Linked DNA regions of Macaca fascicularis. The protein of the gene in region 1 binds, or shares a complex with, the protein of each later gene. Links are inferred from orthologs where the notes say so. Each region holds a gene or a part of one and is shown on either strand. Other genes may lie near its edges.

Region 1 (4,478 bases):
TCTAGAGCCAGAGTGTTTGTGTTCAAATCCTGGTCCGAAAACTTAATAGTTGCATGACTTGGTCAAGTTTCTTAGGCTCCTGGGCCAGGCACTATGCTCAGCTTTTAATAAATAGACATATTTCAGAAACACGGAGCATCTATAATGTGTCAGGCACCACGGGGCACAGAGAGATCACTAACACAGCAGAGGCAAAGATGTTTTAGTGGTTAAATGGTCTCTAGAGTCAGACCAGCATGTTTGAGATCTGGCTTTGACACTATCTGTGTAATATTGGGCAAGTTTCTTAACCTCTCTGAAAATGAGTTTACTGACCTATAAAATGGTGACAAAATATTTTCTTCCTAGGGTGGTGAGGGTCAAATGAGGTAACCTGTGTAAACTACTTAGCATAATGCCTGGCAGAGAGTAAGGGCTCAATAAATGATAGCTATGATTATTTTTATGCTTTCGTATATTGGAATCAATGGACAGTGTTCCAGGCACATCTACCTACAAGACTGTGTTTAGTCGTTATAAAACACTAAGCCATTATTATTTTTTAAAATTTATTATTTGCACGAAGCATATAGAGGCTTGGAGAGGCCTTGCGACGTGCTTAAAATCACAGCTCCTAAGTTGGGGAGCAGGATTCTAACCCAAGTTATGAGAGTCTTTCTCTTGGAGTCCTCTTTGTCCCTCTCCTCACAGCCACTCATCCACGAACAGCTGTAACACAAGAACGACTGTACTAAGAACAGTAATAAGGTTATAAAGTATCAAGGGGCAGGAAAGGAGAAATTCTGGATGAGTGATGTGGAAAGGCTACAAGATGGCAATGGACTTAGGCCTTCATAGATGTTTGTGGGCTTTGGGGAGCTGGTGCCTAAAGAATACAGTGGATGGCCGGGCGCGGTAGCTCAAGCCTGTAATCCCAGCACTTTGGGAGGCCGAGACGGGCGGATCACGAGGTCAGGAGATCGAGACCATCCTGGCTAACACGGCGAAACCCCGTCTCTACTAAAAAATACAAAAAACTAGCCGGGCGAGGTGGCGGGTGCCTGTAGTCCCAGCTACTTGGGAGGCTGAGGCAGGAGAATGGCATGAACCCGGGAGGCGGAGCTTGCAGTGAGCTGAGATCCGGCCACTGCACTCCAGCCTGGGCAACAGAGCGAGACTCCGTCTCAAAAAAAAAAAAAAAAAAAAAAAAAAAAAATACAGTTGGTGAATTAAGGTGGGCTGAGGAAATCGGGCTTCCTTCCAGTCCTGGCTCCGCACCACATAGCCATGGAATGTTGACAAGGTCGTGTCCCTTCTCTAGGCGTGTTTCCTAAGGGACTGGTGCAGCGGGATGGGAGGGGCGCAGGGTAGGGACCGCTTCCAAGGAGACAGAGGACAGGCAGACAGGCTCGGAGGGGCTGATGCAGCCGGTCACTCCGCTGGAGTGGCCAGGCTTCGCGGTGCCTAGGGCTGAGTTGAAGAAGAGCGTGTAAGTCTGTTGTGGGCCCCTCACCAGCGCTGGGGGGAGGCGGGGTCACTGGGCAAGGATGCTCTGGGAAGTGACCTTGGTGCCCGGGAGGGGAGTACCCTGGTGTGACGCAGGCCGGGCAGCGCGGAGCCGGCGGCGCTGATTCCGCACTCTGGCCGCTAGAGGGCGCTGCCTTCCAGCCAAAGCCGAGTGACCCCAACCTGCCCTGCGTTGGTCACTCCAGCCATGGACCATCCGGCGAGCATGGGGGCTAGACAGGGAAAGCCTAAACTAGGAGGGGAGTTGAGGGGGTGCAAAGTTGGGCCTGGTGGGTCCTGGGGACGCAGCATGTACTAGAGCGGCACCTGGCCCTCAATAGGGGGAGAGCGGGTGGTCGTGAAAAGTCTGGGAATTTTCTGGGCCCACTACACGCCAGGGGCGGGTCTCCCCTCTTAAAACGTTGTGAGCCCCAGCGCGGGCACGGGGGTGGGTGCCCGTGCAGTTGGCATCCTCACCTTTGATCTTCCCCGGGGCTCCCGAGCTGCGCTGGTGGCCCCAGAGCCCGGGGCCTCTCTCAGGCAACAGCTCACAGACTGCAGGAAACTCTCCCCTCCCTCACCTCCGGAGGGGGTCCTGGAGTCTCGTAGGCTCCTGGGTTCAAATTCAAGCTTTGTGTGACCTGTGGCACATTGCTGGACCTCGCTCAGTCTCACATTCCTCTTGTGTTTAAAGCTCCCTCACAGGAATGTGGTGATGGTTAGATGACACATAAAGCTTTGCCAGAGGTTTTCTGGGGAGGATGGGGACAAGATGGCAAGAAAGAGACTCCATTTCCTCTGTCACCGGAGCCCGGATCTAACCTCTCAGAGGAGCTGGAAGGTCAGCTCTGAGCTCCACAAATACCTCTGAATACGGATCTCCCACAACACTGAAAAAGATGCCCAGAAAGATCTCGTTTGCTGCTGTGAAGGCGCTTCTTTTTCTATCTCCACAACCCCAACTGCCTTAAAGTAGAACCAGACTTGTTAGCAAACAGAGGTTTGGGCTGGGGGGCCCTTGAAGCTCTTGTCTGAGATTTTGGGCTTCCTGCTCAACACACCAAAGCAGGCGCCTGACGTAAAGGGGGCCGTGGACCTCTTTGGTGGTCTGGGAAGGCATATGGAGTCCCTTCTCAGAATAACATTTAAAAATTAATAAGATACATGGGATAATAAAGGGAACAAATGATGACAAGACAGTTGTCAAAACATGAGAAGAATGTGTGATAGAGCAGTACACACGCTTCTTTAGATCTGGTATCAGCCTAGTAACTGTTGTAATTCTGCAGTAGTGCTGAGCGTTAATGACATTTGGAGAAATCTATAACAACTGTAATGAGATTTGAAAATATTTGTGTTTTCTATTGATGGCAAATTCTATTGTGGTTCACTGTCTATATTCGTAACTGAAGCAAGTGCTAACTTTCAATTAAAGATTAGTGAAAATAAAGATGTATTTTTCCCAAAAATTCACAAATCCCATGAATGAATCTATGCATGGACCTCCAAGAGGTCCACGATGTGAACCACCTAGGACGTGAACTTCCCCTAGAGGTGCCTCACAGGGCCAGCTCCAAGCCCCGGGCCGCCTCCTGGCTTGTCTCAACCCAGGCCTTGAAGAGCTCCAGCAGAACGCTGATCTAAACTTTGGTAACTTTCCTCTGGCAATTTGAGGAATTCCTCCATTTGAGGAATGTCAGAGTGGGGCCAGGATCCCTGAATGCCCATGGAAGAAGAGCGAGCATGCTGGTCTGGCAGGCAGAAATAACCTTCTCCCCAGGGTCCAGAGGACAGAGGACAGTTCCCTCCAAAAGGCAGGTTTCTCAGGGACCTCATGGGAAGCCTGTCCTTGCCTGAGCAGTTCTGTCAACCATCCCGTCCCTCCACCTGGACCCCAGGTCCCCAACAGATCTTTTTACCTCCAGACAGAAGTTCTTTCTTGCTCTCAGGCTGGGGGCTCACGTTGAAATGGCTCTCAGTCCTCAGATTGTTCTTGCATCTTGTTAAAACCCCATCTCTCCAGTTTCGTCATTGCTCACACTTTCATAGCTGTTATATTCAGTCTTTGAAAACCACAGGATGGGTCGTTAAGCAGTCAGAGATCTTCCTCCACCCCCACTGTGGATTTTTTTCTCCTTTCTCTCCTGCAACTGGTCCTCCATCTCCTTCTCCTTTCCTCTCCCTTGTTTTGTCTTGTTGGTGTTAGAAATAGACTAGGGTGCTGAGGGGGCTGAGAAAAACCACCTCTTAAAATTCTTTTCTTTACCCTGGGGAACAAAGATTTTGTGTTTGCTAATTCATAATAAGGAAAGGACTGATGATAGAATAACTAGAAGATAAAAGGACAGAATGTCCTCTCAAGTATAAAGAAAGGTACCAAGTCTTCTCCTGAGAGTAGGTTTTGGTTAGAAGTAGGACAGAGAACACAGCTGCTCCAGGCTGAAAGGGAAGAAGGGCAGGGAGCTGTCAAGAAGGCTTGAGTGAGGGTGGTGGTGAGCAGGGGAGGCAACGAGTAGGGGCACCAAAATGGTCCTGGTGTGGTGGGGGGGAGGATGAATGACTGACCTTAATTTGCCACCCATTTTTTTTCTTTTTCTTTCTTATAATTATTTATTTATTTATTATTATTATTTTTTTTTTAATTTGAGACAGGATCTTACTGTCACCAAGGCTGGAGTACAGTGGGGCAATCATAGCTCACTGCAACGTTGACCTCCTGTGCTCAAGTGATCTTCCCACCTCAGCCCCTCCAAGCAGCTAGGACCACAGGTGTACGCCACCATACCTGGATAACTTTTTATTTATTTATTTATTTATTTATTTATTTATTTAGAGATGGAGTCTCGCTGTGTCACACAGGCTGGAGTACAGTGGCGTGATCTCAGCTCACTGTAACCTCCGCCTCCTGGGCTCAAGTGATGCTCCTGCCTCAACCTTACGAGTAGCTGGGATTATGAGCACCTGCCACCATGCCGGACTAATTTTTATATTTT
Region 2 (3,809 bases), on another chromosome or scaffold:
CGCCTCCCGGGTTCACGCCATTCTCCCACCTCAGCCTCCCAAGTAGCTGAGACTACAGGCGCCCGCCACCATGCCCGGCTAGTTTTTTGTATTTTTAGTAGAGACGGAGTTTCACCATGTTAGCCAGGATGGTCTCGATCTCCTGACCTCGTGATCCACCCGCCTCGGCCTCCCAAAGTGCTGGGATTACAGGCTTGAGCCACCGCGCCCGGCCAGTTTTTAATATTTTTATTGGCCCCTTTTCTTTGGAACTAGTATCATAAGTTTTTTTTCTTAAGAATTTATGTGGTCTGGGCTGGGTGCGGTGGCTCACGCCTGCAATCCCGGCACTTAGGGAGGCTGAGGCGGATGGATTGCCGAAGGTCAGGAGTTTGAGACCAGCCTGACCAGCATGGTGAAACCCCGTCTCTATTGAAAGTACAAAAACTAGCTGGGCGTGGTGGCGGGTGCCTGTAATCCCAGCTACTCAGGAGGCTGAGTCAAGAGAATCGCTTGAACCCGGGAGGTGGAGGTTGCATTGAGCCGAGATTGTGCTATTGCACTCCAGCCTAGGCAACAAAAGTGAAGAGTCTCAAAAAAAAAAAAAAAAAAAAAATTTTTTTGCATGATCTGAATTGCCATTAAAAGAGATATGAGAATTATTGAGTTACAAAGAACTTTTTAATAATTTAGGCAAGTTTTGGAGGATTGTACTTTGTTTAGAATCCAAAAGCATAGTATTTGTAGTTTTTTAAATTTATTTTAGTTGGTAGGAAGTAAACTTTATTCAAGGTCTCTGGTACCAGTTATTGCTAAAAGTGATTGACTAATCTGTCAATCTGAAATTATTTGTTGCCGAACTGCTAATTCTTTTGCTTCTATCTTTTAGGCAGATCTTGTCTGGACTACCAGACTCAAGAGACCAAATCAAGCCTTTCTAAGACCCTTGAACAAGTCTTGCACGACACTGTTGTCCTCCCTTACTTCATTCAATTCATGGAACTTCGGCGAATGGAGCATTTGGTGAAATTTTGGTTAGAGGCTGAAAGTTTTCACTCAACAACTTGGTCGCGAATAAGAGCACACAGTCTAAACACAGTGAAGCAGAGCTCACTGGCTGAGCCTGTCTCTCCATCTAAACAGCACGAAACTACAGCAGCTTTTTTAACTGATTCTCTTGACAAGAGATTGGAGGATTCCGGCTCAGCACAGTTGTTTATGACTCATTCAGAAGGAATTGAACTGAATAATAGAACTAACAGTACTCAGAATCACTTGCTGCTTTCCCAGGAATATGACAGTGCCCATTCTCTCCATCTTGAAAGGGCCAGAGCAGGAACTCATCAAGTTTCCATGGAAACCCAAGAATCTTCCTCTACACTTACAGTAGCCAGTAGAAATAGTCCTGCTTCTCCGCTAAAAGAATTGTCAGGAAAACTAATGAAAAGTGAGTATGTGATTTTCTTGTGTGTACGTGTGTGTCTCACTTTCTTTTTTTAATTTACAAAGCAGAACTTCAGATGAGGAATAAAATGATTGGAATCTTTTTTTTCCTCCTCTAACTACTTGTAAATTTGGGAGAATTTGGAGAGTGTAGTAGAGTCAGATCAGTGTATGGAAAAGGAGCAGGAGGGATATCTGGAGTGACTGGACCTTCTAAGAAGTGTGTTACCAGAATTAGTAAATGAAGAAGGGTCAAATGTCCTACTTTTCTCCTCCACTGATTTTGAAATCAAACCATTATCCACATAGCCTTATTTCCTCCCTCAGTCTTAATTTTATTAATATTTTACTGCAATTTGCAGATAAAATTTTTAAAAATTATTTTTAAAATGGCCAATAAATGACATTTATTAAGTTCTGTGCTTAGGGCTGGGCGCGGTGGCTCAGGCCTGTAATCCCAGCACTTTGGGAGGCTGAGGCAGGTGTATCACAAGGTCAGGAGATCGAGACCATCCTGGCTAACACGGTGAAACCCCATCTCTACTAAAAATACAAAAAACTTAGCCGGGCGTGGTGGCGGGCGTCTGTAGTCCCAGCTACTTGGGAGACGAGGCAGGAGAATGGCATGAACCCAGGAGGCAGAGCTTGCAGTGAGCCGAGATCGCGCCACTGCACTCCAGCCTGGGTAACAGCAAGACTGCGTCTCAAAAGAAAAAAAAAAGTTCTGTGCTTAGTGTATATTTGGATTTTATTTATTAGTCACAAGACCTCTGTGCAGGTAATAGGCATGATTATCTTATTTACACATGAGAAAACCAGGGCTTAGAAAGGTTTGATAACTTTCCCCTAGGTTGTACAGTAAATGTGGACCTAGAAGCATTTTGACAAGAGCACCTGTTTTTTTTCTTCTCTATTAGTTTAGAAATTCTATACTCTTAATTATTACCTGGGATTTTGATTAGACAGCCTTCATGTTCTTCTTTTTCATCTTAAGGGTTCTTTGTGTCTCAAAGGGCTAAGTGATTTCAGATGTTTAGTTCGCTCATTCTCAGTGAACTAAAATGAGGTCTAATCTGCTACTGAATCAAGTTTTCAGTGTGTTATTTCCTGCCTCCCTCCCTCCATCCTTCCTTCCCTCCCTCCCTCCCTCCTTCCTTCCCTCAACCAGGCTCCTGAGGAGCCGGGATTACAGGCGCCCACCACCACACCTGGCTAATTTTTATATTTTTAGTAGAGATGGGGTTTCACCATGTTGGTCAGGCTGGTCTTGAACTCCTGACCTCAAGTGATCCACCTGCCTCGGCCTCCCAAAGTGCTGGGATTACAGGTATCAGTCACTACACCTGGCCGCATGTTATTTTCATCACAAAGTTATTGTAAACTGGGTGAAGCGGCACACACTTGTACTCCCAGCTACTCAGGAAGCTTAAGGTGAGAAGATTGCTTGAGCCCAGGAGTTTTGAGACCAGCCTGGGCAACAAGCAAGACCCCAGCTCAAACAAAGAAAAAAAAGTTGGCCGGGCGCGGTGGCTCAAGCCTGTAATCCCAGCACTTTGGGAGGCCGAGACAGGTGGATCATGAGGTCAGGAGATCGAGACCATCCTGGCTAATATGGTGAAACCCCGTCTCTACTAAAAATACAAAAAACTAGCCGGGCGAGGTGGTGGGCGCCTGTAGTCCCAGCTACTCGGGAGGCTGAGGCAGGAGAATGGCGTAAACCCGGGAGGCGGAGCTTGCAGTGAGCTGAGATCCGGCCACTGCACTCCAGCCTGGGCAACAAAGCGAGACTCCGTCTCAAAAAAAAAAAAAAAGAAAAAAAGTTACTGAATTTTTTATTTCTATGGATCATTTTTTGTAGTTTCTTTTTCCTTTCACACTTCATCCCACTTTTGATCCTATCTTTTATTTCCTTAGTTTTATTAAATGTGTATTTATTGTCTGATAATTCTACTGTCTACAGTTTTTGTGGACCTGATTCAGCATTTCTTTGTTTCCTCAGATTCAGACTCTTGGTGGCTTGTGATTTTAGTGATTTTTGGCCGTGAACATGTTTCTTGGACTTTTATCTGTGGGAATTCTCTATGTACTCTGTATAAATTAGGTTATTTCAGGTGTTTTGCATTCTCTTTTGCCATGCAGCTGGGGCCTGTGTCACTACCCTTCTGGTACCACTTAAAACTGAATTTTTGTCTTGGGTGCTCGTACTAATCCTATATGAGTGCAAGTTTGTACTTATTGCAGAAATATGATGGTTTTTGATTATGGGGTATTGTCCCAGGTAGGTGCTAGAGTGTTAATTAATATGCTTTCTGTTAATGTGTTGTCCCTGTAAAACCTTCCAAAATTCTGAATTCCAGAATACTACTGGCCCCAAATGTTTCAGATAA

Evidence for each region.
Region 2: the proteins of PDZK1 (region 1) and AKAP10 are in contact, whole or in part, in a crystal structure (PDB 3TMH), measured with the Homo sapiens proteins. The link is inferred for Macaca fascicularis from reciprocal best matches to the Homo sapiens genes PDZK1 and AKAP10. Residues at the interface, in NP_001188254.1 of Homo sapiens: Asn386, Gly387, Tyr388, Gly389, Phe390, His391, Leu392, Asn393, Ala394, Ile395, Arg396, Phe402, Lys404, Tyr436, Glu437, Val440, Ile443, Gln444; in NP_009133.2 of Homo sapiens: Pro655, Leu656, Glu657, Lys658, Ser659, Thr660, Lys661, Leu662.

What each region holds. Positions count from the first base shown.
Region 1 is NC_088375.1:113,700,791-113,705,268, forward strand, and holds the start of PDZK1 (Na(+)/H(+) exchange regulatory cofactor NHE-RF3), read left to right. Parts: upstream 1-1,369; 5' UTR 1,370-1,468; intron 1,469-3,404; exon of another isoform or gene 3,405-3,515; intron 3,516-4,478. UniProt on the Homo sapiens protein: A scaffold protein that connects plasma membrane proteins and regulatory components, regulating their surface expression in epithelial cells apical domains.
Region 2 is NC_088390.1:19,691,041-19,694,849, reverse strand, and holds part of AKAP10 (A-kinase anchor protein 10, mitochondrial), read left to right. Parts: intron 1-868; coding exon 869-1,426; intron 1,427-3,809. UniProt on the Homo sapiens protein: Differentially targeted protein that binds to type I and II regulatory subunits of protein kinase A and anchors them to the mitochondria or the plasma membrane.